Lonchura striata: one gene and its partners. The protein of the gene in region 3 interacts with the protein of the main gene of each other region in a biochemical or structural test. Links are inferred from orthologs where the notes say so. Each region holds a gene or a part of one and is shown on either strand. Other genes may lie near its edges.

What was found.
Region 1: the proteins of SNTA1 (region 3) and MAP4 interact in a test that uses a peptide from one of them, tested with the Homo sapiens proteins (2 studies listed by BioGRID and IntAct). The link is inferred for Lonchura striata from reciprocal best matches to the Homo sapiens genes SNTA1 and MAP4.
Region 2: the proteins of SNTA1 (region 3) and FRMPD4 interact in a test that uses a peptide from one of them, tested with the Homo sapiens proteins (2 studies listed by IntAct, with this or other methods). The link is inferred for Lonchura striata from reciprocal best matches to the Homo sapiens genes SNTA1 and FRMPD4.
Region 4: the proteins of SNTA1 (region 3) and KCNA4 interact in a test that uses a peptide from one of them, tested with the Homo sapiens proteins (2 studies listed by BioGRID and IntAct). The link is inferred for Lonchura striata from reciprocal best matches to the Homo sapiens genes SNTA1 and KCNA4.

What each region holds. Positions count from the first base shown.
Region 1 is NC_134603.1:156,288,245-156,296,148, forward strand, and holds the start of MAP4 (microtubule-associated protein 4), read left to right. Parts: upstream 1-4,896; 5' UTR 4,897-5,028; intron 5,029-7,904. UniProt on the Homo sapiens protein: Non-neuronal microtubule-associated protein. Promotes microtubule assembly.
Region 2 is NC_134604.1:98,557,542-98,564,553, reverse strand, and holds the start of FRMPD4 (FERM and PDZ domain-containing protein 4), read right to left. Parts: upstream 3,012-7,012; 5' UTR 2,881-3,011; coding exon 2,792-2,880; intron 1-2,791. UniProt on the Homo sapiens protein: Positive regulator of dendritic spine morphogenesis and density. Required for the maintenance of excitatory synaptic transmission. Binds phosphatidylinositol 4,5-bisphosphate.
Region 3 is NC_134619.1:12,417,897-12,425,719, forward strand, and holds the start of SNTA1 (alpha-1-syntrophin), read right to left. Parts: upstream 3,012-7,823; 5' UTR 2,975-3,011; coding exon 2,710-2,974; intron 450-2,709; coding exon 264-449; intron 1-263. UniProt on the Homo sapiens protein: Adapter protein that binds to and probably organizes the subcellular localization of a variety of membrane proteins. May link various receptors to the actin cytoskeleton and the extracellular matrix via the dystrophin glycoprotein complex.
Region 4 is NC_134608.1:61,417,497-61,424,741, reverse strand, and holds the start of KCNA4 (potassium voltage-gated channel subfamily A member 4), read right to left. Parts: upstream 3,018-7,245; 5' UTR 2,316-3,017; intron 1,502-2,315; 5' UTR 724-1,501; coding exon 1-723. UniProt on the Homo sapiens protein: Voltage-gated potassium channel that mediates transmembrane potassium transport in excitable membranes. Forms tetrameric potassium-selective channels through which potassium ions pass in accordance with their electrochemical gradient.

The DNA of each region.
Region 1 (7,904 bases), on a different chromosome or scaffold from region 3:
GGACCCGTGGTGCAGGACAGCAGCAGGAGCTGTGTTTTCTGGCACCACAGAACTCTTGGCAATGGAATTCACTGCCCCAGCCTCAGTGCAGCCCCCAGCCACCTTCCTCCTCCTCCTCCTCCTCCTCTGTAGCCCCACACCAGGTTAGAGCTGACAGAGAGATCCCAGATCAGGAGATCACGGGGTGTGCCAGCTGCAAGGCAAATCCCATGACCAGTCAGAGAGCCTTGACAGGTCTCTGGGATGGCTGGGATCCCTGGCCAAAATTCCATGCCTTCCATTGTGCTGGAGTCAGCTTTGATGAGCAGAACAGCCCTGTCTGGCTGGCAAACGTCTGCCAGTGACCCACAATGCTTCTGTTGTCTCCAGAGCAGCGTCCTGCCTCGTTGAGTAGTTACCTTCTCCTTGCATCCCTGATCCGTGATAGGGGAGTGATGAGGCATCTGTTTTGTAAGAGTATTCAAATTCTCCAAGCTGTTTACAGACATTCAAAAGTGAATGAGCAGAAATTTCCTGACCATGAGAGTCTGTGGGTGCTGCTCCAAGCGTGGAGGCAATTCCACTCAAACCCTTTCGAGATCTGCTTCATGAGTTTTTCTCCTTGATACAGTTAATGTTCATTACTTACTGACTGCACTGCTGGCCACTCCTTTTTGGATGTGACCCCTGCACGGGCTCTGTCCAGGATGAGTGAGGGATGCGAGGAGTGACAGCTCAGCCCTGGCAGCGCTGCTTCCCTGGAGCCTCAACAGACCCTGGAGCTCAGACAGACCCCGGAACCAGGACAGACCCTGGAGCTCAGACAGACCCCGGAGCTCGGGCAGACCCCAGAACCTGGACAGACCCCACAGCCTGGACAGACCCCAGAACCAGGACAGACCCTGGAGCTCAGACAGACCCCGGAGCTCAGACAGACCCCAGAGCCCAGGACAGACCCTGGAGCTCAGACAGACCCCAGAACCTGGACAGACTCCAGAGCCCAGGACAGACCCCAGAACCAGGACAGACCCTGGAGCTCAGACAGACCCCAGAGCCCGGGCAGACCGCTGCCCCTGTGGGCACCCACATCCCTGCTTTGAGCAGGGAATGACGAGCTCTTGCCAAAGGGCAGGAAAGCTGCCCGGTTCATTACTGCTTATCTCCAACACTTGTGCTGTCAGTGCCCTGGGATGGGCTGTGTCACCCAGCGTCCTTCATTTGCACCGGCTCCCATCAAAGTGGTGACAAAGGAGCTTTCCCCAGACCGAGCTTTCCCTTTCCAGCTCTCCCAGTGCCCAGAGGGGACTCACCCAGCACGGGTCAGGCCCACGCTGAGACCAGCCCCGGTGCTGGCTGCCCTACCTGCCCTGCTGGCCTAATGGGGCTGGCCAGGAGTGACTCCTTAGGGAGATGAGCTGGGTCCTTTCCCTTTTCACAGCCACCTTCCCTGTCTGACCTGATGAAAGGGCAGAGCCATTGCCTAAGAACCTTCTCTCCTGCCATCAACCTCACCAAACAAAATCCCTCCCTCTGCCGGGACAAGGACAGACACACCTGCGGCGTCTCACAGATCTTGTCTGCCTTACACCGAGGACATTGGTTCCTGCTGCCCTCCCTTCCAGGCCACATGGAGATGGAGGGGACTCGGAGTCTGGAAAAGCAAGTGGAAAGAAAATAGGTTACTTTCTTTAGCGGGACAAAGATAAAGGAGATGCTTTGAATTTTTGCACAGGTGAAGTATGTGGGGAGGCAACAAATGGAGTGTGGCCTGAGGTTGCTCCCAGGAAGCAAAGAATAGATGTCAGATTTTAAACTAAACCAAGGGAGTTTCATATTAAACAGTGCCCTGAGAAGCTGTGCTAAGCTTGGATTCCTTCCTTCCTTCCTTCCTTCCTTCCTTCCTTCCTTCCTTCCTTCCTTCCTTCCTTCCTTCCTTCCTTCCTTCCTTCCTTCCTTCCTTCCTTCCTTCCTTCCTTCCTTCCTTCCTTCCTTCCTTCCTTCCTTCCTTCCTTCCTTCCTTCCCTCCTTCCCTCCTTCCCTCCTTCCCTCCCTGTTATTCTGATTTCCTTGGTTCCATGGAAGGAAATCCCAAAGCCTGGGCACACCATGTCCTTAATCCACCAAAGGTTTGCTCCTGTGTGATCACTGAGCAGTGAAGGCCTGGCTTTGGGCTCTCAGGGTTTTCTTTTGGGGAATAAATTCTAAGCTCAGAATTTAGAAGGAACAACCCAGAATCTCTTTTTGAAGCCAAAAGCAGTCAGCGCAGTGGTCAGACACACACTGATGTGTATTTTTTGTTGTATTATTGTAATTTAACCCCTGTTTTTTGTTGAGTTACTTAGTCTGTTCCACAGACACAGGAGGTACTGTCCTGCTCTAGGAGACAGGCAGCAGAAAGGCTCCAGAGGGGAAGAGAGGTGGATTTCCTAAGGAAAGAGAGGGAGGGATCTTTAAGGGTCCGGTGATCAGGGTAGGCTGGGACAGCTCTGAAATTCAAACCTCTGCCCAACCCTCCTAAAGAGAGCCATCAGGATGCTATTTTATTTGGAGCTTAAAAATAGCACATGGTACAAGCAGTTGTTATGGATCTGCCTGTCATCAGGACATGGGATTTCCCCTTACCGGCTCCAGCCCTGGAAAGGTACCCAGGATTGGGAGGCTGGAGAGAGGTGGGCAGAGGGTGCAGCTTAACCCTGCCTGGATGGGGTGTGCCCCCTCCCACACCTCATGCCAAGGGCGTTTCCTCCCTCCAGTGACCAGACATGAGACACACCTATTTCAGTTTTAGTCACCGTGCTTTGATTTGCTTATCTGGCAAGCCAGTGTGTCATGTATTTTCATGATTTAGTAGCTCTGCAGCTCCCTCTGGGCAGATGGGTGACACAGAGCCCTCGGGGACATGCAGGAGCCTAGCTGTCAACGATGGGCCGGTGTCCCTCCCTGCCTGCTGCCCGGGTTAACTCCCAAAACACGCTGGAATGGTTTATCCCTGAAGAACGAGGCTGGATGTTCCTCCCATGGAACATCAACCCTCCGTGGCTGCTGTCACTGCATCAACCCAGTGTCACCTCAGCCACGGGAAATGGTTTCACTGAGGGCAGACAACGGAGGAGACAGTGCTGGTGGATGAGGGAACAGTGAGCCGTGTCACCCACCTGGACTTGCGTAAAGTGTTGGACACTGTCCCACACTCCATCCTTGTCCCCAGACTGGGGAGACAGGGATTTCCCGGGTGGAGCACTCGGTGGGTGAGGAAGGGGCTGATGGACACTCAGCTGGTCGCTGGCTCGGTGTCCGAGTGCAGAGCAGTGACAAGAGGGACACTCAGGGTCGGGAGTTCCAGGGCCTGGAGGGGCTCCAGGAGAGCTGGAGAGGCACTGGGGACAAGGCAGGGAGGGACAGGACACAGAGAATGCCTTTAGCTGAAGGAAGGTACATTTAGATTTTTATTAAGAGGAAATTCCTCCCTGGGAGGGTGGGCAGGCCCTGGCACACGTGCCCAGAGCAGCTGTGGCTGGCCCTGGATCCCAGGCCAGGCTGGATGGGGCTTGGAGCACCTGGGACAGTGGAAGTGTCCCTGCCCATGGCAGAGGCTGGCACCAGATGATCCTTAAGGTCAGTTCCAACCCAAGCCAGTCTGCGATTCTGTGACTGTAAAAACACATCCCTTCATCCCTCACCGTCCTGCTGGCTACACGTCATCCCTTTATCCTCCTGCTCTCCTCCTGCCCTCCTGCATGCACAGAGGGCTGCCTTTCTGGGCCAGAAGGGCCGTGGAGGATTATGAGCAGCAGCACGAGTGGTCCCCGCTGTTCGGCCACCTGGAGGGGCGGCTGGGCGCTCCATCTGTCCCTGGGCCCTGCTTTGTCACCAGGCTCCTTCGGCTCCTTCACAGCCACGAGTGCTGTGCCGCCCAGGCGTGCGCACGCTCCCAGGGCTTCTTCTCCCTCTTTAAATATCTCCCTTTCCTGCCCCACAGCATGCTTCCCATGGGATCGCCTTCACGCCCTCAGCCTTGTCCCTCCAGCCTGCTCCCCTCAGCTCCCCTGTCCCCTCAGCTCCTCTGTCTCCTCAGCTCCCCTGTCCCCTCAGCTCCCGTCTCCTCAGTTCCTCTATCCCCTCAGCTCCTGTCTCCTCAGCTCCTCTGTCCCCTCAGCTCCCCTGTCCCCTCAACTCCTGTCTCCTCAGCTCCCCTGTCCCCTCATCGCCTCTGTCCCCTCAGCTCCCCTGTCCCCTCAGCACCTCTGTCCCCTCATCGCCTCTGTCCCCTCAGCTCCTCTGTCCCCCTCAGCTCCCCTGTCCCCTCAGCACCTCTGTCCCCTCAGCGCCCCTGTCCCCTCAGCTCCCCTGTCCCCTCAGCTCCTCTGTCCCCTCAGCTCCCCTGTCCCCTCAGCTCCCCTGTCCCCTCAGCACCTCTGTCCCCTCAGCTCCCCTGTCCCCTCAGCTCCCCTGTCCCCCTCAGCGCCCCTGTCCCCCTCAGCTCCCCTGTCCCCTCAGCTCCCCTGTCCCCCTCAGCTCCCCTGTCCCCTCAACTCCTGTCTCCTCAGCTCCTGTCCCCCTCAGCTCCCCTGTCCCCCTCAGCGCCCCTGTCCCCCTCAGCTCCCCTGTCCCCTCAGCTCCCCTGTCCCCCTCAGCGCCCCTGTCCCCCTCAGCTCCTCTGACCCCCTCAGCTCCCCTGTCCCCTCAGCCGCGTCCCCGCCCTCCATCGCCGCCCTTGGCCCCGCCCCCCGCTCTGGCCCCGCCCCCGTCCCCGCCCCGCGCCGCGCCCAACCGCGCTGCCCGTTCACCGCGGCGCCGCCTCCGCCCCGCGCGGCCGCGCGCCGCCCGCGCTGGCGCTGATTGGCCGCTGCCGGGCGCGGCGCGGCGCTGATTGGCCGGGCGGCGCGGGCCCCGCCCCCTCAGCCAGCAGGGTAGTGCGCTCGGCGCGCGGCCAGCGCGGCTCCGCTCCCCGCTCCTCCTCCCGCCGGGCCCGCAGGGGACAGCGACGCTCGCCAGGCGCCTCCGTCCCGGCGCCTCCGTCCCGGCGCTGCCCCGCGCCCCCGCCGCTCGGTAAGGCCGCGGGGAGGGGGCTGCGGCCGGGCACGGGGCGCGGGGACAGCGCGCTGCGGCTGCGGCGCTCCCCGACGCGGCCCGGGCGGGGGCTCCGGCCTCGCCGGTGCCCGCGGCCGGGCCGGGAGGCGGCAGGGGCTGCGGGGCGCGGGAGCCGCGCAGGGAGCGCCCGCAGCATCCCCGAGCATCTCCCGGGGGAGCGGGCGGAGCGAGCGGGCGCTGCCGGGGCGCGGCTTTGTTGCCCGGGGGAGGCGGCCGGGCCGGGTCCGGGGGTCGGCCGGGGTGGAGGGGGGGTCCCGGGCGTTCCCCGGCCTTGCTCCCGCGGGGTCCCTTCGGCTCCCGCGGGGGTTTCGCTCAACGGCGGCGCGGCGGTTCCGCAGTTCTCCTCGGGACGGCGGGGAACTTTCCGTGCCCCGTCCTTGCCCGGCGCCGCGGCTCCGCTGCCGGCTTTATAAGGAGGGCGGCGGGCCGCGGCTGAGGATGAGCATGGGCAGAGCGCGGCTCGCAGCGCTGGGTGTGGCGGGCCGGGGATGCGCCGGGCTCCGGCCAGGCCTGTGCGCAGTCATCGCGGCCGAGCGGGCCCGCTTTCGGGATGAGCAAGCTTCTCTGCGGAGCTGGGCTGCGAGGGACGGCAATTAAACCCGTGCTCGCGGTGCGGGGCTGCTGGTAATAAGTTCAAGCTCGAGGCGGTGAAGTTTTGATGCTGTTCTGCTGCCAAAAGCCGCTTCGGAGTGTATCCTGGTAGTATGAGTGTTGTACGCGCTCCTTCTCTACGAGGGGTGTGTTAAAAGCTCTGTGAACATGCTGAATTTGGATGTTTAGGTCTCTTTTCTTTAGGTGGTTCTTGATCTCTCCTACTCGGTCGTTCCCTCTCGTATTTCCTTCTCCTGATTTCTGTATGGATTTAGTAGATTAGCCCATTGATTTTAGAGCTTTTAAAAAAGTTTTTATTTGTTTTTAAAGCTGGACTCATCCATTCAGTGAACCATGTTCTTCCCAGTTTACAATTCAAGCTGGAAGGCTTCTTGAATAATACAATAGGCGTCCAAGCCCTGCTCAGTGTTTCAGTGTGCAGTAACAAGCCTTGCTCGGGGCCTCCTCCTGCTCAGCGTGTGATGCTGCTGCAGCTTCATTTTGTAAACTCAACGGACAGGACTGCACTGGAGTTTTACAACTCTAAAGCTTCTTTTCTCCTTGCCAGGGCCTGATGTCCCATCTGGTATGTTTTGCTGGTATTGTATCTATAAGGTGCTATTGCAGCTTAACTCCTTTTATTTGTGAAAGAAAAATTGTAACTCAAAATTATTGACAATACAGTTATGACATTGGCTGGACAGACCTGTCTGTCAAATTGACTTTTTGTGGTTTTGTTTGGGTTTTTTTTGTGAGAAGCAAGGAAATTTCTGATTATCCTTCCAGATGCATTTTGTGGGATTCATGGGCTCTTTAAATTTTAAACTTTTTTATTCTTTTGTGCCTGCTTGCATCAGAAGAGATAGGCTTTTTCAGTTTGAAAAAGAGCTTAACTTACTTGCTGTTGCAACAGCAGCAATATCCTGTGTCTTTTGTTTTGTTTGGTAATAATTACATGTTAGTGACAAATAATAAGCTTGAAGGCAGAATAGCTGATCTGTTTGTGACTGTGATTGTTGACTCTGAAGCTGAAGGCCGTGGATATTATTAAATCTGTTTTTGTGTGTCTCTGCAGAAATGACATCAGGGAAAGATCAGATAATACAAAGAAGTGTCAGTGGTTTGGAGATGCCAGCCTGGGAGTTCAGCTAGAGCCCGGTGTTGCCATGGGTACAGTTTGTGGGTCACCCTGGTTCCCCCCGAGCCCTCAGCTGATATTAGGAGAGGATTATGTCACTCCTGTCCTTAAGGAGCAAACGGGGAGGCTGCTGGAGGACTCTTATGGCAGCAGATCCTGACTTTATCAGCTTGCTCCTCCAAAGGCAGGGCTGTGCCAGGCGCTGTCCTGTGCTGCCCACTGATGCCAGGCAGTGGGGACACCGTGGGACACCAGGGCTCCTCTCTGCCAGCTGCAGCACCTCACCCTGGCAGCAGACCTGGAGATCTGCTTTAGCAAGCTGCCTGATTTGTCTGTGGGGAGCTTTGAAGCTTGTGAGTGCTGTGGTAAGTGCTGAGTGCAGCCCTGTTTGGGTGAATAATCACACCAGGGGCTTGCAGACACTACTGGAGCCAACCTGGCCTTACTCTGGTAAGTGTCATTTACAGGTGGCAGTACTAATTCTGAACTATTTGGGTTCAGTTCAGTGTCTGTTCCCTCCCAGGTACACCAGGCAGTTTTAAGTCAAGGTTTTAAATAGCAGAGATTGCCCAGACTGTTCTGTGATGTTATCAAATACCCCCACGCCTCCAGCAGCCCGAGCAGCAGTGAGAACAGAAGCAAATTGGGGTTTTGGAGGGGCAGAAGGTGAGGCTGAGTGGAGGCTGGGGAAGGACTGGATTTCCAGCTTTAAGCTTGTTATGTGCAGTCTGAGGAGTGCTCAGTTGAAGCAGATGAATTACGTATTCCTGCTGGTAAAAGGGCTGACACAGCTGTAATTTCAGCCAATGGGGCTGTAATTATATTTGAGGTCCCAACTCCTGTAGTGTTTTAGTGGTTGCTTGTCTTCCCTAGAAATAAATGAATCTGAGCCATTCAGTCAGCTCTGAGTCCTTACAGGGTTCAGATCTGGTTTACACCCATTGCATGTTCTTGCTCTTGTGTACCTCAGGCTTAAACTCACCTGTTTGCTGAGCCGGTGATGTCTCCTCCACTCAGTTCCTGGACTGCATTTGTCTCTGCACTGTCTTGATGTGCAAGCTTCCAAATTCTGACCTACACCAAACTTATGACTCAGGGAAGCCAC
Region 2 (7,012 bases), on a different chromosome or scaffold from region 3:
CCCACACAAATCAAGAGATGCAAACTCTACAACTAAACATGAGAAATGTTATCCCTTCATTCTGGAAGTACACAAGCAGTTTTGGAAGTCAAGATAACCATGATTGTTTTTTGTGAGACAGGACCTGTGAAAGTATTTCTTCAAACTACAACTCAAACAAAGGAATATTGCAGTGATTATGCAGAAACTCAGTCCTTTTCCATCAAGAAGAAAGTCCTCCTTCTATCTTTCTTGGATTACTCCCACAGAGATGTAATTTGGAGAAAAGTGGGCAGCACTGGAGTCCTAAGGATTGCATACCTGGGTCTGTAATGTCACAACACACCAAGAGAAAATACTGCAAACAATAATTTAAAAAACCAAACCCTTTGGTCTTTAAAGGTGCTTTAAAGTTGCACTGCTGGCACTACAAAACTCACACTGGCTGCCATCTAGATATTTTAGTATTACCCTAAGTACAGGTGATCCAAACTCTTCTGCATCCACCACCATTTCAGGTTTTCACCAGCCATAGAAATGCAATCACAACCTGTCCCTATGGATGCTGTAAGGACTCCTCCACTCAGTGGTATTTCAGATTTCCACATAAGGAGAAGTACTCATGTGAATACAAAGGAATAACTAAATACTTTACACAAAGAGTGCTGCCTCAGTATGAGGCAGCTGGAGACTGGTTACAGGAAGAGTGCCACTCCCCAAAAAAGCAGTAGAGGTGATGTATATATTAAACATCACCATTCCTATTTCAACAACCATTGTATTTCTTCTATTCTACTTAAGTTCACAATAGAATAAATCTTATCATCCATAAGTGGTTGCTAGGATTCTTAAGACTGCCTTTTGTCACAAGGTCTTTAGAAGATTTTTAAAGGAGATGATGAGATGTCAAGCAGGCAGCTAGACTTTTTTCCCCTGATAATAGAAATATCAATTATATCAATCTTACAGGAAAAGGAAATAACTTGACACTTTACTATGTAAATATCACTATGTTCAAATTCCACTGCTCCCTTGAATAAGGATAAAGATTTTATAGAAAAAGTAAAAAAAAACCCAGAACTGATTCTAAAGTTTGGGCTTTTTCAAAATATATTATTTTTTTAACTGTTATATTTGTTTCCACTTCTGGAATTTGCTTTTATAACTTTAATTTCAATAGCATAGAAGTTCTTTTATAATCAATTCTTGTCTATCAATAAAGATGAGAACCACAGACTCTAGGTTTGTAAATTCCTCTCCATGTGCCACACTATGGTAATGATAATCTCCAAGAGTTTAAGTGCTTCCCTCACTAAGCGTCAAAGCCTTGGACATGAAGAAGTAAGCTTGGTAAAATCTGCCTGTCAAGGAGCAAGAGAAGATGGAGATGCCAACACAGCCCCTCTAAACAGCAAAGGTATATTAAGACCTTTAAACAATCCAACCAGCAAGAGACGATCATACTTTCAGCACCATTAATGGAACCATTTTGGTTTTGCCCAGTACATTAATTTAGATTTTGACCTTCTGAAATACTGAGGGTTTTGATTCTTCTGTGCTGTTTGCTAGAACACAGGCTAAGTTGAAGGGAAAAAAAACTATGGTTATCTAGACTTTTTCATTTGTTATTCCTCCCAAATTACTTTATGTCCTGCAGAAGCCTTCCCTTTTCCCAGAACTTTCCTCTTTAGGATTCTTCTACTCAAGCTTCATTCTACATCAACTTTTGTTGCCTCTCCAGCCCCTAGAGACATGACAGAAACAGGAACCCTGAGCTCCCTCCCTCCCACACACAAGAACCTAAGGCATCACATGAATCCTGTGGCTTGTCCCTCCCAGCTATTTTCATCTTCTGCCAGTGTCACAGCTGTGGCTCCAACACCTGGTTTGTCTGCATGTCTCACCACAGGCAGCTAAGCTGGCACAGAAAGACACCATTTCACCAGAAGAAAGGAGCAGGCAGAGATTCCAAGGCTGCAGCTAACTCCATCTCACACTCCTCCCTGAAAGCCTCCCACTCGCACCCAAAACCTGGCACTCTGCTGACCTGTTTCCCCATCTGAGGGGGCTGCTTTTACAACCAAACCACAACAACACTGCCCACAAATGTGCTGAGAACAAACACCACGTGGCCCTACGTGTGTCTCTAGTAAGCTCCTCCTAGGCTGCTGAGAGCTAGCAAGCAGAACTCTGAGTCATGCTTTTTGGGTCAGAGCTCAAAAAGTTTTGGCTGTTTGACACAACAGGGCTGCAATGTACTGCTTGGAGTCCCTGCAAAAACAAGGCACAGGTGTGCTCACTGCTGTTCCACACTACAACCCCTCTGGGGCAGAGCCAACACAGCAAAGGACAGTTCTTGATCTGAAGCCAGTGACAGGCCTGCTTTAGATACAGCAAAAAGTCCTCCATGTTAAAAAAAAAAAAAAAAAAAAAAAAAACCAAGCAAAACAACAACAAAATCACAAACAAACTCCTCAAAAAACTCTCCACCCTACAAACAAAAACCCCAAACCTCTTAATGTTTCCAAAACAATGATACTAAACATGCATCTTCTTAAAGAGGAATCTAATTAGTGAACTGGAGCATAAAGTCAAAATGTAAACCAATGTTTGCAGTACCGAAGAATGAGAAATACATAATTAGTGGCTATCCTCACAGTCTGAAGCCAAAGATCTGTTATTCTGAAATGATTCCACTGTCAGTAGTTTCCAACTAAATGGAGGCAGAACTGCAACAGCAGCCTTCAAACTGAGTAGATCTGACTGCAGATTCAGGGTATGCACTCAGAAAGGTGATGCAATCCAGACTTACACATTGACATCTCTGAACGCTCGGAGCAAGGCGTGTTGTACAAATACAGAAATGTAGCTGTGGATGTAAACATTAAGGCAGACATTCATAGGCAAAGTTAAATTAAGCCCCACAAAGAATACAAAGCATACACCCGTAGAACCGAAGCCGTGTTAGGTTAAAAATTTCATCAGATATTTGTTTTTGAACTACATCTATGACAAGAATTAAATGACAATGTAAATTACCTCAGCCACCTGGCAGGCAGGGAAATTTGCTGCAGGGAACAAACAGGTAGTAAATAAATAAATTAAGAATATGTTATCAGGCTTTGAGAGAAAGGGCTACAAGGAAATGGACTCTTTTCCCTCCAGCAGAGGTCACAGCAGTCAGTAGGAATTATTAGCATCATTCTCATAACACACGAACAAGCCAAGCTGCCAAGTAGCTATGCTGCAATAGTATTTCAAATCCTGAAGAAAATTTCTCTTCAGAAAAGGAAATTGAGCTCCTTCAAGAAACTACACTTGTCATTTAATCTCTCATTCTATATTTTCCTTGTTGCACATCTACTCTCGAAAGACCTCTGACAACCCTGCATTTTGATGCAGGGCTTTTCATTTTAGTGAAAGACACCAGAATAACACAATAGCGTCTTAGGAATTGTAGCCCATTTTTTTTCTTCTGGCAAATTGAAATTGTATAATCATCACAAATTCATTAATAGAGAAGTTACAAATGGAGTGCATGGATGCCTGAAGGTTTAACATCTGTGAGTATCTTTTCCAACTGATCGAATGCCTGAGCTCACAACTCCCAAAGAGACTGCTGGTTCCTACTCTCATTTCTGACCACAGAAATTCCCACAAAGTAAACTAAGGCACATTTTTATTTTTGTTTCCTCATATAACAAAGACTTACCCTGGTGAATTGTATTGTTATGATGTGTTTTGAAATGGATGGTAGTTGAAAAAACTGATCTTTGAAGGAAATGCTGTGCATGCAAAATGCTGATTTGCTAAGGAGAAACCTCTGTGTCTGTTTCTCTCAAATAACAGCTTACCAATTACATTCAATTGATGAAACGCTACAATTTACTATGGAGCACACATATAGCTATTTCCAGACACCTCTTGTTTAAGTTGTTAATGTGTTTTTTGACAAAGAAAAAAAAAAAACAACCCAACTACATCCACCAGGTAAACCAGATTATACCCAAACCCGGTTTCCTCCTCTTGCTGAAGGAACTATTTGCTCTATTTGCACACCTGAATGTGGAACACACTAAATATCTGCCTGCTTCAGCTGGGAAACAATACAGAGCATAAACCCCAAATAAACTGGTGAGCTAAGTGGTCCCCTCACTATCTATTTCATATCTATTGTTTCAACATATTTAGTTGTAGCACCAAGGTTTTCCAGAAGGCAAATTTAGGATATACATTTTGGGAGGAAGTGGGAAGAAACAGTACCTAGTCACTTACATTGGCATAGGTTGTAAATCTGGCACTGGATAGCATGTGATGGAAGAAAAATACATCAGAAACACTGAAATACTACTGCTGCTATGAAGGCTGGAGAAAATGAACAGCTCCTTGGACTGGAATGATGAAGAACATAAATTCTTCTAAGGATATTTTCCTCATACATATACATGTAACATCTATCAGCATTATCAAAATTTTATTTTACTTTTTTCTTTGTTTTCTCTCTTTTTTTTTTTTTTTCTTTTTACAGCAAGAAGGCCATTTGGTCCATCAGTATATTTGGACTTTTAGACTATAATATTTCCCTTTCCTAAGCATCCAGGTCATCAGCTAGTTGCTGCTTTCTAGTTTTCAAATTTCTGCTGAGAAATTATTAAATAAGCAGATTATCTCATCTGTACTCTTATCTCATTTTACTCTTCCCATGGCCACCCAACTGCCTCAGCTGCAAGGTAGCACAACTGTTTGCATCAAAGACCATCTCCATCCAGGAGACATTCAGTAACAAGCCTGTTCAGGTCACACCCTGCACATCCAGCAAACTGGGAATTAAAAGGACAGGCCAGATGTCAGAGCAGCTCCTTAGTGACAGCACCACTGTGGTAGCAAGAGCCATTTCACAGAAATCTTAACTTCAACAACACATGGCCATTAGCTCCAGGCATGATGCATGAAGCAAGGGAATAAAATCTCTAGCTATGCTGAAAGATCAAGAGGTACAGGGCTATCTACTATATACACCTACTTTTTCCTTTTAACAGTATTTGGGATGTTTTTTCTTTTCCCCCTTCAAATATGGATGCTCTCAGTTCTAGCAGCACAGGAAGCACATCCCAATGTGTAGAGAACAGATCACAGTCTGTTCTCCCCTCAGGAACCAGGAGTCTCATTTTTGCCTACACACCTAGCTCTTCATGACCCTGGGGACCAGGGGGCAACGTTTCTCACCTTTCTTGTCCTCTACTTACCCTTCAGGATGGCTGTAGCTGCCAAATCCCTGTCAAACAGTGCTTAAGGGGTTGATATTTGACTTTTGGCTAAGAGGTCCACTGCTCAAGCAGCTGCTCCTATCTTTTGAGAAAAAGCAGGCACTGGATAGAAACCTTTTGCATTTCTGATTCTGATGTACCATCAGACAGGACACACTCGTAAGGCACAGACTAGTTTCAAGAATATGCTCAGTGCTCTGTAACTGAAGAAAATAAAACAAAATTATAAAATAAAAAGAAAACAATAGCTGTGTCATAAAAATGTTTCACAAGATATCAGTTATCACTAAAGAACAGATGGCAGAGATGTTATATCCTTATGAAATCCAGTGCTATTCTGAAGGGCTTCATTGTTTTGGAACCTCCTTGAAACTGAAAACCAAATCAATTTATACAAAAATATTACCCAATTACACTTGCCACTGCTGACTCCAACTGTTGGGGAAATGTGAACACACATAAGTGTGAAGTTATCTGGTCTCAGACTATAGTTTTCCATAGAAAACTATGGAAACTTATTTATCTGAACTAAGAGGGCAACAAAGATGCACCTGTTTTACTGAAGAGGCAACCAATGATCACAAGCAAAGTTAAGAACTACTAAAAGTTTATGTGAAAACAGAGGGAACAAAGTCATCCTGAAGCCATGATCCAGCCCAGTTAAATGTACCACCACCCCTTGCTATACCATTTCTCTTAGCAAATGCCCTCTAAACCAACCACGACTCACATCAGCCAAGGTTCCTCTTCAGAAGCCTGACACAGATTTGCCCTTTCTGCAGCCCTGCTTCCAGGATCCACATACATTCACCACTCCCCTTCCTTTCCTTCCCTATGACTGTGCTTTTTAAATAGACAATGAATTTTAAACTCCTTAAGGATTGTTTTTTAAATAACCCAGGTTTTCAATGCTGTCAAACACTCAGACATATTGGCAATATGGAAAAGGATGTTACAGACAGCCTCAGAAAGAAGGAATAAAAATTTTTATGCCATGATTTTTCCCACTTGGTCTCATATATGCACATTTCCACTGCATTGTTTCCTATCTCTTCTGAAGTCCAAGCAAGCCCAAAGACAGCAGACAGCTCTTAGAAATCCAAAATGCTCCATACATATTTCACTTGAACATTGCCCTCAGAGAGCCTGTGGGAGGTATTCAGAAAAGCAATCTTTGGCTTAGTGACGCTTGTCCCCTCTAGCCCGATCTATTGCTGACACAGAAAAAGTGACTCTTCCAAGGAATGGGATGCAGAAACTAGTATCTCTCTTGGGCAGTGAACTCCCTTTTGGAAGAGCCATTTTCTCTCCCCTGACCATGAGAAGAGCAGGGAGAATGTTCTCTGAAGGATTTTACATGCATTATCATCACTGAAGGCCCTTCTTAGCTACTGCTACAGATGACTCCTCACTTAAATTTCTAGCCATATTCTCCTACACCTCCCTACCTAAATCCATCACTCAGCTCTTGCTCTCTAAATATAGCATGCTAACAACTATGAAAGGTGTCTCTAAATATATTTAGTTTACCTAAATGATACTTACTCATCAGTGCCACGTGCAAGTCTGCTATTACTGGATAGCTTGCTACTAACAGAAAAATAAGGAACCTTTTCATAATGCAGTTAAGTTACAGAGGAAACAGGTAAACATAAATATAATTAAGATTAGTTTATGACAGAATCTGTCACTGAGAATCTTAAATGGAGACTCTTCACTGCACCTTAGCAGCTCTTGTAAGCAAGATGCCCACGTTGCAGAGTATT
Region 3 (7,823 bases):
TGAGGTCCCACAGTGGGGAGACAGAGCCTCTGGGCATGGAGTACTGGCACAGACATCCCTCCCTCTCCGTAAGGAGACAGGGAGATCCAGGGAGATCCCAGCAGTTACCTCCAGCTCTCCGGATGAGCAGACAAATTACTCTGCATATGTTGCTTTCCATTTGAAAGAGTATGCAAATGCAGCTGCAGATGATATGCCACCCCTGTGTCATCCCAGTACAAGAAGGAGAACCATTCTGCCCTCATCACATCTTTGTCTCCTACCTTCCAAGATCACTTCCTTGCCCGTCTTCTTCAAGGCCTGCACGGCCTCATCGTGGGTGGCCTCGGACAGGTCGGTGCCATTGACGGCGAGGATGGCATCCCCCACGTACAGCGCCTCGGTCTGGTCTGCTGCCAGCCCCTTAAAGATCTTGGAGATCAAGATGGGCATTTTATTCTCTCGGCCACCTTGAAACAGAAGAGACAGGGAGCGGTTGTGGCTGTAGGAGCGCTTGGAGGAGTGTGTGGGGAGAGGGATGCTGTGGTACCAGATGGTCTCAGCAAGGCTGAGCCTTTCTGCTGGCACTCAAAGCACCGTGCCAGGTCAGCCCACTGCCCACTCCCCCAGATACCCACAGGACACCTGTACCAACCACAGCAGCCAAAGTACCATGAGGCTTTACAGCTGATGAAGTGATTGCTCCAAAACCGCTCAGATTGGTCACGGATTATTCACAGAGTGAACACATAACCTGGCCATCTCCCCATCAGTTTTGGCAGGAAAGTGTATCGTTATTTGCATTATTAATCATGTATGCTGAGCAACTATCCTGGCTCTAAGGACTTTATGATCTCAACAGATAACACAGCTGAATGTTTTTGGAGAGGCCAAAGAGGCAGGGAGAGGTAAACCAATCTGGCTGCATGTTCCTGTCCACACAGCAGCCCTATTTGCCGGGTGCTCCCCACTGTCCTGACTAAAAGAATGTTATTCAAACTCCCGGCGGCTTCAGGAGATCAATTTGCACATCGACTTTTGAACCCGCAGGGAGATCCGAGCCGCCTCCGTGCCAGGGCACAGGGATGCAGCAGCCATTGCCCGTGGCAGCCGGGGATCAGCAGTGCCCGATGTGCCCCGCGCCCCGGGACAGCCTGTCCCGAGGAGTCTCCAAGAGATAATCCTCATCCCAGAGGGAGATGCTGAGCGCAGCCCGCTGTCACTGCCCGCCCCGGGCTGCTCCCAGCCGGTGCCACAGGCATTTCCTCGCTCAGCCGCCTGCCAAGCCAGTGAGGGCTCCGGTTATCAGCTGTCAGAGGCCCCGGCGGGGGCTGCTCCGTCCTTGCGCCAGCGGCTCCTCGCCCGGCTGCCAGTGCCGAGAGCCCTGCCAGAGCTAAGAGCCTCCGCCAGCCCGGCTCTCGCTCGGCTCCCCGCTGTCCTGACAGCCCCAAGCCACGTCCTGCGGCAGGACATTCAACCCCAGGTGGCACCCAGTGTCCCTGCATGAAGCACGGCTGGCACATGAACAGCGACATGCCAGCAGCTCGGTGAGGAGATTGTCCTGCCCTACCAAGGCTGCCCCGCCCTCCACAACTCCTTCCACTACCCATTTTTGATGGCAACTACATCTTTTCCACATACGTCACTGCAAAAGTAAAGTTTTAACTGAACCAAGGGAAGTTTCTCCTTTCCTGGAGGAGCCACAGAGCAAGCAATAACTTGGCAGCCATGGGGTGGTTACGAAAGGGGGTTTGTGCTTCCCAAAAAAAGGGCTGGCACGCTGGGGCACCCTGCAGACACGGCCAGCAGTGTCGATCCAGTTCCAGCAGCCGCACATTCACATTGCAAAACCTCCCCACTACCAGAGGGAGCCGGAGGCTGCGTCTGTGCCCCCTCTGAGCTGGGAGGAGAAGCCACGTCAGGAGGGGAGAGCTGTCCTGTCACTGCCCCGGGGCGGCCCGCTGCCTCTCACAGCCACGCTCCGTGACAGCCCTGTCCCTGTCTCCGCGCTGCCCTTTTCATCCTGCTTTCACAGTTTCCAACACGCTCGGAGCCCCGTGAAAATCAAAGGCAGGCAGAAAGGCAGGAACGGCACTGCCCTAAGAAGTTTCCAGCCTGAAGTTCAGGCGAGTCACCAAGGAGCGGAACAGCTCGGGAGGGAAAACAGACATAAAACAGAAAGGCTTCCCGGGAGCACATCTCCAAACTCGAGCGCGCTGGTTTAACACCCCACCCAGCGCCGGCAGATCTCCCGGGGCTTTACATCCCTCCCTTCGTTTTGCTGACAGCTTTAAAGGGGCATTTCCCAACTCAGGAACACGGTAGGACAAGGACACGCCGGCCCAGCCCTCCTTTTGGCTGCAAAAGAGAAACTTTCGCGTAACCCGGTGCCCCCAGCACCCCACCCGTGGGTGAAGGGGACAGCGGGTCTCCCACCGGCTCACAAACCCTGGGGTCCCTCACCCCGGTCGGGCACGGCGGGCAGGCACTGGCCGGTCACTCCGCACCCCAAATCATCGCTCTTTCCGTAGGCTGGGAATGGTTCGGTGCCGTCACTGCCACGTATCCCCTCCCCGTGCTAAGCTGGGGCTGGGGACGGTGAGGACCCCGACCCCAGCCCCGCTCCCCGCGGGGCTCGCTCCGAGCGAGCCGCGGGACCGCAGCAGCAACAGGTCCCGCTGCCGATGCCCTCTCCCCACGCCGCCCCGGGACCCCCGGGCCCGGCCTCACCTTTTATGCTGATGCCGAGCCCCCCCACGTCCTGCTTGACGACGCGCACGGTGCGCCTGATGTTGGCGAGCGCCTCGGGAGCGGCGGAGCCCGGCTCGCCGCCGTTCAGCTGCGCCGCCGGGGCCTCGGGGCCGGGCCCGGGGCCGTCTGCGGGGCTGACCCCCAGCACGTCCTCGGCCAGGGTGAGCAGGACGCGGAGCCACTGCCCGCTGGGGCCGCGCAGCTCCAGCAGCCCGGTGCGCGGGGCGCGCCTGCCCGCCGCCATCTTCGCGCGCTCCGCGTCCCACACCGCCCCGCGCCGCCCCTCACACCGCACCGCCCGCCCCGCGCCGCCCCTCACACAGCACCGCACTGCCCGTCCCACACCGCCCCTCGCACCGCCCCGCGCCGCCCCTCACACCGCTCCGCACCGCCCGTCCCACACCGCCCCACACACCGCACCGCCCGTCCCACATCGCCCCTCACACCGCCCCTCACACCGCACCACACCGCCCGTCCCACACCGCCCCTCACACCGCTCCGCACCGCCCGTCCCACACCGCCCCTCACACCGCCCCGCGCCGCCCCTCACACCGCACCGCCCGTCCCACACCGCCCCTCACACCGCCCCGCGCCGCCCCTCACACCGCACCGCCCGTCCCACACCGCCCCTCACACCGCCCCGCGCCGCCCCTCACACTACCCCGCGCCTTCCCACACCGCCCCTCACACCGCTCCGCACCGCCCGTCCCACACCGCCCCTCACACCGCACCGCACCGCCCGTCCCACACCGCCCCGCGCCGCCCCTCACACCGCACCGCCCGTCCCACACCGCCCCTCACACCGCCCCTCACACGGCACCGCTCGTCCCGCACCGCTCGTCCCACACCGCTCGTCCCACACCGTCCCGCACCGCCCCTCAACACCCCGCGCATCGCTCGTCCCACACCGCCCCTCACCGCCCTGCGCACCGCCCTGCACCGCCCGTCCCGCACCGCCTGATCCTCACCGCCCGTCCCTCACCGCCCCGCACCGCTCCACGCCGCCCCTCAGCGCCCCGCGCACCGCTTATCCCCCGTCCCACATCGCCCGCACCGCCCCTCACCTCCTATCCCGCACCGCTTCTCCACACCCTGCACAGTCTCTCCGCACCGCCCCTCAGCGCCCCGCACCGCTCCGTGCCCTGTCCCCTCCCGCCACACACCGCCCCGCAGGACCGGGACACAGCCCTGGGAGAGACCGGGACCGCGGCTCCGTCCCATTCCCTCCCGGGACGGGGCACCGGGATGCTCCCCAGTGCTCCCCGCACCAACCCGGGACGGGGCACCAGGAACAGACACAGCTCCGCGGTGCTCCCCATCATGGAATGGGGCACAGGGAAGAGCACAACTCCCCGGCGCTCCCCGCTCCATCTGGGATAGGCACCGGGAGGACACGATGTTCCCAGTGCTCCCCAGCACTGCCTTCTCCAGCCCGGATGGAGGGGCACCAGAGGGACACGGCGCTCCCCAGGGCTCCCCATGCCTGCCCACGAGGGACACAGCTCTCCTCTCCATCCTGGGATGGACACAGGGCTCCCCATTGTATCCTAGGACAGACACCTGGAGGGCCCAGTGCTCCTTAGCTCTTCCCATTCCAGCCTGGGATGGGGAGACCAGAAAGACACGACTCTGGCCTGGATGGAGCATGGGGAGAGGCCAGGACACCAGGGCCCCACTGGTCCATCCTGGGATGGGACTCTGGAAGAGCCTGGTTCTCCCCTCACCATCCTGGGATGGGGCACCAGCAGGGATACAGCTCCCCAGTGCTCCCCAGTGCTCCCCAGTGCTCCTTGTTCTGGCCTGACACAGGGCACCAGGAGGACCTGGCACTTCCCACTCCATCCTGGGACTGGCATGGGAAGGGACACAGGCTCCCAGCTGCTCATCCCAAAACTTGCCCCCACACTGGACATTTTGGGTGTCCCTGCGCTGGGCTGTCACAGGAGGAGCAGTGGGAGCTGGGCACAGAGCTGTGGCTCATCCCAGCGGCCACAGCCAGGGCAGGAACTTCCCTAGAGTCCCAATGGGTGTTAAACAGGAGCTGGGCAGGGGGACATGGTGTCTGCAGACATTCAGACAAGTCTGCATTGCTTTTTCCTTACTTGCCCTGGATCTTGAAAACGCGAGTATTTTTACATCCTTGGCAGACACTCATTCTTACTGTATTAATTAGGACTAGAAAATACCTCCAGGAGTAGCAAATCACTCTTGGCACATCCCCTCTGCCCCTTGCAGAGTGTTTCAAGCAGTGCCAGGAGCCTCTGGGACAGGACTACTGAGGTCTCAGCCCCTCTGGAAAGCACAAGGATTTGTAAGAATTCTGTAACATTTATGGCTGGCTGAGAAGTGGGTGGAGAGAAGCTCTGGGCACCTGAGGCAGGGGGGCTGCAGCATGTGCTGCTCAGCACAGCCCTTCCCAGCCAGGGGCTGCAGCCAGCCCTGAGCATCAGCCTCACACAGAGGAGAAAAATGCTCCCTGGGCTCCCTCCCACGCAGTAGCAGCTGTGGAATTTCTTGAGGTTGCAGCAGAGAAAACCCTGAAGGTTATTTCTTTACAAAACAGATGCTTTACATATTCCTGATTTTCTTTTCACTAAAATGTTCGGGGTTTAAGTGACACTTTGCCTTTGCAGTATGGTGATGCTCACTGTGGCAAGCACTTCTACATCACCCCAAGGATATTCCCCTCTGATCCCATCCCCTGTCCAGTGCCTCTCTCTTTGGGAACAGCAAGGGGACTTTGGTCTTTCGGTCCTCAAGTGGACACAGAGCTCATTCCCCCTGAGCTACATGCCTTGGGAGCACTCACTTTATTTTCCAGTCAGGCAGCTGCAATCAGCAGTTTGTCCAGCTTTTTTTTCATTCCCAAGAGCTGCTTTTGATAATTCCATCCTCTAAGGGCCCATTCCCATCTGAGCCAGCAGTGGGATCTCTGAACAGCTCTCAGTGCAGCAGAACAGCACCATTTGGGTTGTTCCCTTTCATTTCTCAACTCTGTGCCCCGAGGCAGGGATGCTGATAAGCATGGCCTGGATGCATGGAAGCCATCCAGATGGTTCCAGTGCCTTTCCCTGTGCTGCTGCTGGGATGGAGAAAGCACCATGGTCCTTGAATCCAGGTCACAGCACTCTGACTTCACCTCCTTTGGGGAAACAGCCTCACCCTGTGAGTGCAGCGAGGCCACTGCTCAGTGACCCCAGCAGAGAGCACATCCCCCAGCCACCACTTCTGCCTGGCTGTGGGACCCCCTGCTTCAGTAATTAATATTCCTGTGATACAGCAATTAATATTCCTATGACACAGCAATTAATATTCCTATGTCAACTTATGTGGGATAGACACCCCAGGCGAGTACTGCAGGTGGTGTCTTCTAATGGAAACAAGGAATTCAAAGTGCCCTTAAGACCCCAGTCCCAAACTGGGAGGTTCACCCTGAGCAGGGGGTCCATCAAATAGGGCTGACAGACTGGTGAAGTACTGGGGGCTTGGCTCCAGCACTGGGGGGCTTGGCTCAAGGTTTAATCAAAGACAGGAATCAATCACTTGCTGTCTCCTCTGCACACCTAGGCCTGGCAAGAGCTGTGGCCTGAGAAAGTGGACATGCCAGGATGTTCTTGGAGGTCTCTGTGCCCCCTAAGCAGAGATGTTGATGTTCTGGGGTTTTCCACAGGCTTGGCTCCTCCAGGCTTCCCCACTTCTTTTTAGGGGCTCCTTCAGGCTTCCTCACTTCTTTTTAGCCCTTTCCTGTCTCAGGGCACACGGTGAGCACTGGGAACCCAGCACACAGAGTGGTCCCAGCTCGATTTGACCCTCACAAGATACCATGAGCATAATTCCCATGCCGTGGAGCTGTAGGACAGAGGCTGGGATGACAGGGAGAAGTCTCTGGCCAGGGCTGGCATGCAGGAGTGAGCTGCAGCTTCCAGGAATGCCAGTGGCGTTCGTCAGGGCTCCTGTGAAAGCGAGCAGGCGGGGGAGGAATTGCTTGAAAAATTGCTATTCACAGAAATAGAAACTTCCCGCAGAAACACGCGTGCGTCGGTGACAAAAGCCCAGCTGGGAATTTCTCCTGGCAGCAGGAGCAGTGGGAGGGGAAGGGGCTGGGGAGTGCAGGAGGTTGAGGTGCAGGACTGGGGGTGCTGCCAGGGCCCTGACCTCAGCCCTGAGGGAAATTGCTGCTTTTTAGCTAGAAAAAACATCTCTTGACTCCATTATCCTCCAAACAGTCCCCAGGAGAAGGATCTGGCAGTGTGGCAGTGAAGGGCTCTGTGCCCCCCACCCTGAACCATCCCCTCCAGCAGAATTTCCTTCATGGCTGTTGGGATACTGCAGAGAGTGCAGAGGCCCTGGCACAGGTGCCCAGAGCAGCTGTGGCTGCCCCTGGATCCCTGGCAGTGTCCAGGGACAGACTGGGTGAGGCTTGGAGCAGCCTGGGACAGTGGAAGATGTCCCTGCCATGGCAGAGGGTGGGATGGGATGAGATTTAAGGTACCTTCCAACTCAGACAATGCTGGGATTCCACATTTGCCCAGCTGATTTTCATGGCAGGTTTAAGCCATCCTGGCATTGTCTCTGCCAATTCTCTCCAGCCCCCTGAACCCCACAGTTAAGCAGCTATTATTAGTCCCATTTCTTGGCATAGCCAGGAGCTGTGTCAAAGCCCACCAGTCTATTTATAGAGTGCTGTGAGCTGGTTTGTTATTTGTGTTAATTGAATTAATCCCTTCTGAAGAAAAGAGTTGAAGAGCTCACGTTCAGTCCCTGGGACAACATTCCCAAGCTGTGGGGATCCAGGCAGCATCTCAGGCTGCTCACAATCCTTAGCCTTCAGCACCAGGGAAGGGCTGCTGTGCTCAGTGTTCCTGAGAATTCATGGAAGGGGATGATACCAACCCTACCCTGCAGGACTGAGACTCATGAAACACTGCAAGGGACGGAAGGGAAATAGCTTTTATTATCTAGATAGATTTTAGGCTAGATATTAACAGATTTAGATATGCAATATGTACTTAACAGATGGATTCATCCGTCACTATGCAGAAAACACAGCAAAAAAGTGTGATTCTAAAGTACCTGACTTTAGAATCACTGGG
Region 4 (7,245 bases), on a different chromosome or scaffold from region 3:
GGGCCGGTTCCTGTCGAAGAAGTACTCGTTCCTGAGAGGATCGAAGTACCTTCCCCGCTTGGCCGGATCCCCCAGCAGCGTCTCCGGGAACTGAGCTAACGTCTTCAGCTGGGTCTCGAACCGCAGGCCCGACACGTTGATCACCACGCGCTCACAACACTCGTACTCGCTGTAGCGGACGGAGCTGTAACCCCCGGGGCCTCCACCGTCATCGGGTGGCTGGTCCGAGTATGAAAACTCATCCTCCCCATAGTCATCACTGTAGTAGAGCTTCCCTTCCTCCTCGTCATCTTCATCCTCATCTACATCCTCCTCTTCCTCCTCGCTCAAGTCCTTCAGTATCCTCTCCTCAGAGCCGCTGAGCGGCAGCAGCTCGGAGCAGGGGAAGGAGGCGCCACACTCCCTGCTCCCCAAGCGGTGGCTCCTCTTCTTGCCCTTCTTCCTCCTACCGCTCTGGCGGCAGGGCAGGCCACTGCGCGAGGCGCTCCCGCCGTGCGAGGAGGAGGCCCCGCGGGCCTGCTCCTGGTGGTAGTGGTGGTAGGGTCCCCCTCCGCCCGCCGCCCCACCTTCCACCGCCGCCGTGGCTGCCGCCACAGCCGCCGCCGCCGCCGCCCTGGACTGCGCCAGCCGCTCCCGCTCCCGGGCCCGTGCCTGGGCCGCGTATCCGTAGGGCATGTGGGTGCTGCAGCCGGAGCTGTCCGCGCTCACCATGGCGACCTCCATCCTGCAGCTGCTTGGTTTTGTTCGTAACCGCTGGCCGTAACAGGGTTTTGCGTTATTTACAGCACCACCGCGACCTTCGCTGGGAAGTTCAAAGCCATTTGCGTTTGGAGGACAGTCTGCTGCGCATCAAGTGTGGCAACGTGGTCACAACACTGAATCTGTACTTTGGAAAACCACACATCCGCATTTTCCTCTTCTCCAGAACGTCTGACACAAGCTACTGCTTCGCTAATGAGAAAAGATGAAATTCTCAGATCGGACCAGAGAACAGCTGAGACCTTGTTCTTCCATCCACCAAGGCCCTTTATTTTCATTTATCTCCTGCAGCCATCACAGCTGTATCTGATCAGAATCACGACTGCCTCGCAGGCTATAAAGGCTGCATTCCTCAGGAAAAGAATATGCAAACCAAAGGGTACCTGTTCTCCGCAGACAGTTTTAGCTCATCATTAAAACTAAATGCAAATAGACTCTTTGCTCATTATTTGTTCCTGGTAATGCTTTGGCCTAGCAAACGTATTGTTTAATGTCCTTACTTGGAGAGTTGAAGTTAATTCCAGCCATCACTTCATTTACACAGTGAGGAGGTCTTTACAAATCCATTCTTCAGCCTGTCAACAATGTCTCAAACCTGGGAGCAGCACCCAGGGCATCAGCAGCAGTGGTAAGAGGAGGAGGAGGAGATGAAGACTGAGAAACTGGCTCTGAGGTCCCCATGGGACACAGGGGAGTGGATGGGTCACCCTTTGGTTATGGTCATGCAGAAGAAGCACTTAACCTGAGGCACATGCACAAACACACAAAAATAAACAAAACAAAAAGGGAAAAGATTGGATTGTTTTCCTAAAAGGTCAACCGATCAAATGAAACTGTGTCATCTATTACCATGGCATTCAAATCTTCTCCTGCCCACACTATTCACACTTCTACATTACACACACACCCACATCACATGCACAGAGATTTTGAACGACTCTGTGGGTAAGGATGTGGGTGGGTATGTCACATATATATAGAGACAGATACAAAATCCCCACCCATACAAGCACTTGCATCCATACACAAACATATGCATGCTTCTGAAACACCAACACATATAAACACTAATAAAAATACTGCAACGCACAATGCATTCAGGTCTTTGAGCACATACGTAAGAGATACACCTCCATGTATCCATACGAAACGTTAAAGAATAAATGTATCTTGACAAAGAGCTTTTGTTGTATTTGCAGAAACGCATCAGATGCGGGAATGTTACATTTTAATCCACAGCAGAATTGTGTTTCGGTCACAATGAACATCTCACTGGATTTAATTTGGAAACGGGCACGTACAATGCTTAGCCAAGTGAAAATACCCTGATATGTCAAGAAAACAACTGCAGGTGCACTGAAGCAACGTCTACATGCAAGCACACACACAAAAATACCCACAGCCCCTCACACCCCCCTTTGAAACAGAAGCCTCATTTATAGCCACATCTATTAATACACCAGAGAAGGTGAACGCGAACTATTAAACGACGCTATTTTTCAAATCGTACCTACATGTCATGCAGAAGAAAAGCCTAAAAACACCGTTATACTTACCGATCCTAGGCAGAGAAATAGCAGCGCTGCTCCCGCTGGTGTAAGGAGCGGGGGACAGCAGCGCGGAGGGGCTGTGCCGGCTGCTCCACGCTCGCAGGTGGCTGTGGTCAGTGCGCACCACAGGTTGGCGGGTTATTCCTGCCCCTTCCAGCCGGCTGCCGGGGCAGCGAGCCGGGGAGGCGGCCGGGGCTGGGGGCACCGCGCACCGCCACAGCCGCTCGCCTCGGCATCGGCCACAAGGCAAGGAGCGAGGGTCTCGTCCCCACGGGGAAAACGAAGGCGGTGTGCGTGTGCTTGGCGTGTGCGAGGCGGAGCAGGCGCGACCGCCGGTCCCGGCGAGCCCGGCTCGGGCGGCAGCTCCGTAAATCAGCGCTGGCTAAATCCGTGCGCGGAGCCGGGCTCCGGCGGACGCAGGACGGGGCCGGCTCCGTGCGGCGCCTGCCCCCGGCACGTCCGGGGCTCAGCCGGCTGCCGCCCGCTCCATCCACTTGTTGGCTGCTCCCACTCGGGGCGACGCGGCCGGGGAGCCGCCGGCCGGAGCGCGGGCGGGCGCTGCTGGCGGCCGAGGGTGCCGGGAGATGATGGGAGCCGGGAGCGGATGGGAGCCGGGAGAAGATGGGAGCCGGCGGATGATGGGAGCCGGGAGCTGGGCCAGTCCGCGGCACCGCGCCCCCGGCGCTCCGAGCCGGCCCTGTTGCTCCGGAGCCGCCGCCCGCCGCTGCCGCCGCTCCCGGCCCGCCGCCGGCCCCTGCCGGCCGCCGCCCGCACTGCGCCGGCTCGGCTCGGCACGGCACGGCTCGGCTCGGCACGGCTCCTGCCCCCGCGCCCTGTTAACGCCGCCGTTACCGGAGTCGATAGCTGTCCGCCCCGAGCGATGCTGCCAGCACCGGCCTCTGCTGCTCTGGGCGCGCCCCGAAGGAAGCGAAACGCTTTGTTGAGGTCGCTCGGAGAATTCCAAAGCCAAGCCCGGATCAAATTTGGCACGAGGAGAGAAGATGTGCCCGCACCTGCACGGCGCTGCCTCGCTCGGCCCCGAGCCGAGCAAACATTCCTTCTGCTCCTGCAGCCCTGTCGCAAATGAAGCCAAGTCAACTTTCACTCCTAGTTCTGTGCCTGAACAGAAAGCAGGTCCTACCTAGTTCATGGCTAGAGGGTACCGTTTTGTGTTTGGGAGTTAACACCTCAAATCCTGCAACAAATTCCCTCTCCCCGCTGCAGCACGAGCAGGGTATAGACTGCCTGTTCCTTTTGCACCTGGAAAACTGAAGCTGTGGCACATTCCACTCCCTGTAAGGGATGGCCATGGAAATACAGCTTGGCTATATTTGACCCTCCACCTCCAATTCTACCACCTCAGTACAAACTGCAAGCACTCCCCTCATGGAGAAAAAGACTGAATCGAGAAGCAATCAAAGGCAGCGCCAACACCAGACACTTTGCCACAAAGGGTTTGCAACTGGAGACAAATCCAACATGTGCAGCAAATAGGTTGGGCATTTCTCTCATGACCTAGCTCCTCCTCCATAGAGCAACCAAGAGAGCCCAGTGGCTATTTCCCTTTAGATCCCCAGCAGCACAACCCACATTATCCATGTACTTCTGCTGCCTACATCAGTTATTGCCCATACCTTTCATCCCACTCATGTCAGTGGATGACCTATGACTATTTAGGGGAGCATAGGGGATCAGCCAAATCAACATATTGCCTGCCAGGCACCAAGTCGTGCCAACAGTGCCGTGAAACACATAAATAGCACCTAGAGCTAACTGTTTTTTTTTAACATTCACAATACTTCAGGTTCCATAGTCAATATAATAAATCACTAATGTCATCCCAAACACCATTAAAATACTGTCTCCTGTCAGCACAAAAGCAACCCAAAATCTGGGTTCAAAAACAGTTAAAAACATCTATAAATTAATTTCTAATACCAAACCTCAGATTCTTCTGTAACCTGGCACAGGGGCATACCAAAGTCATGGATCAAACCCCTACCATCACTTCAACACAAGGACATGTATGAAGCCATAAAAATACCAGTTATCATAGGTAAACTTATGGAATCATTAGGATCACCTAGACTCACTCCTTCATCAGTAAAGTTTAATTCTGGGGCATTTTCCGGAGCTCAGTCATTTCGACCCTAACAAATCTTTTGTTGCCCTTTATCTGTAGAATTTGAACACCCTTTTATTTCTTTTTTGAGATGTTTCAAGGACTTGGGATAAAAGATAATGACTTATTTACCTTCTACTTCTCTTTCAAAATCTCAGATGCATGGTCTTACGTTATCTTGTGACTGTTAAAATGAAATTTTCAGTGGACATCTGAGTGAAAAAGACAAGTAGAAACAGACCAATCACTTTGGTATTCCTTTTTGAGCACTGTTATTTTGTTTTTATTAGCTAAAGCATGTTCTCGGGCAAAGATAAACAAACTGTGGTGTAGGATTCTATGCACACGTGATACACACATAACTGACAATGGGAGAAGCAGAAGGCTTTTTTGTGCTTTTTAAAATCCATTCTAATGTAATAGGGATCACGTAACCACATGCATTTCAATCTAGCTCAGAGATCTAACTTGATCCAATTTTTAACTAATTTAAAAGCAAAAAACAAGCTTTAAGTATATGCAGATAAATACTTTGACTCATTTCATTCAGCTTTCTATTTTCATAGTACTCAGAGAACAGTTTTTATTTGAGAGCTATTACATTTCCTCTGCTCCTTCACATTGATAAGGGATAATATCATTATCCCTTATTAGAACAAAGAGAGAATATCTGCACATCACTATCTTTGATAGAGATGTTGTATCATAGTAAAGAATCTCTAAGATCTCTGTCACACAGGTTTGTCCTGTTTTACTGTGATGCAGGTGAGAAATATGCACCACTGGTTAGCTATGAAAAAATGCACAACGACGTAATACATTTCCATGCAAAGGGAACATGAGATTTACAAAGTTCTTTTATGTTCCTATGCCCAATATTAATTTATGCTGAAATTCACACTGGCAGGGTCTGTCCTCAGTCCAGCCCTCACCTCCCTGCTGTAATCTCTGCAGTGAATAAGACTGAACTACAGTACTACTGCACTTCCAGACCATGAATAATTCTACTTTCCTTTTAGCCTTCTCTTTTTGCTCTTCTGCTCTTCCCTAGGCTTGCTTCACTGTTATTTCTATTCCCCTCCAAGGCAACACATCCAAGGTCCTGTAAGATTGGGGGCTCCTTTCAAAACAAGCAAAACCTTGCAGCAGTGGGAGCTCAGGATTATCAGGTGAAAAGACTGGTCACTACAGCATTTCAGATGTGCTGAGACATGATTCAGAACTTGCATTTCCCTCTCCTCTCAGCTGTTTAGTGCTGGAGACCCTTAGGTACCAAAGTATAGCAGTGAATTCTTGCCTCCACAAATAAGTTTTGTCTCCCAGCGGTTGTTGAATTGAACTTCAGGAAGTTCATATTTTATTCATATTTTACTAACTAGGCTCTGTAAGACTCTCCTGTCAAAGAATCTGGCTCAAGTACTCTTCTTTTGAATATGACTGGCAGTGTTTAATGAGACACTTGGCAGACTAAAATGCAGCCTATCCTCAGTCTAGTTCTTCCACACAACCTGTATGAAAAGCACATCTGTTCATTCCTTGTGCTTCAGCAGGATAATCCAAGGAAGTTGATGCTCCAGAGAACAGCAGCCCTTTCATATTTTCTCAGGGAAAGTTTGCAAAACCATGGCCATTTACCACTGAGTTTAGGATGAACAGCAGTAAAAACTGATGATATTTTTACTGGGAGAATGATTTCCTGTACCAGAGCTTGGATTTACTCAGAAAACAGGATAAAAATACCACGTATGTTCTATTTTTGGACTTGGATATTTCTCCATTCATTCTGAGCAAACAGGGACTCATATCAAGTCTATTCTGAAAAACGACAATAGTGAAAAATTTAAAAAAAAAAAAAGAGTAGTCTGGAGAGAAAGCTGCTAAATGAGAAACCAGATTTCCAAGATACCCACAGCCACATCAATCATAATGCTGACATCCTTTTTCTATCCAGTATAACAAGGGTTATTTATCACCTCTCTTTTTTTCTCTCCTAATAATTTGATTTTAGCTGAAATGGGAGAACCTGGATCATTCACTGCGCCTTCTTTTAGATATGCCTAGTAGTAGTGAAAAGGGTGGATCTGCAGTCTGGAAACTGTTATTTTAATTAAATCATGAAGGAGATGAATTAGCCTCACAGAATTACTTAAATTACCATATCATTGGATTTGCTCTATTTCTGCATTTAAGAATAAATGTATTATTCTGAATACCCAATTTTCCAACTATGCTGACAGAAAACGTAATGATTATAAAACCTGGAAATATCAGATGCTGTTAAAAATCCCTGTTTGCATATATTTTTGTCCAGATCAAAAAGCATTACGAGGGCATAGTAGACTTATTTCTCCCTGGGATTTTATAAGGAATATTCTGCAGAAAAAGCAGACAGTAGGATAATAATTAATGTAAATTTGCCTTATGATGCTAACCGTGACTTGAGGAACAACTGGAAAGAAACATGTGTATGACAAGAGCTCAAAACTATTCCTGTTAAAATATATAATAATTGTTAGCTGGAACTTCTGGCATCTCATGCTCCAAGAACATGCAGCAGCAAACTGTTATGTGAAGAAGCACATAAAGAGAGAAAATTTAGATGTTAAGTATGACATTAAATGTAGCTCCCATATATATTTATAAGCAAAAAAAGGATATTTCTATGAAGTTCTAGAAGATAGATGATGGTAAATTTCTAATAAATATGTTTTATGATTTCTATTTAAGAAAAGGAAGACATGGATGAGGGAACTGTAGGATCAGACTGCAAGTCAAAATACACCATTGTAGTTGTAGCAGTCCAAACCATACTAG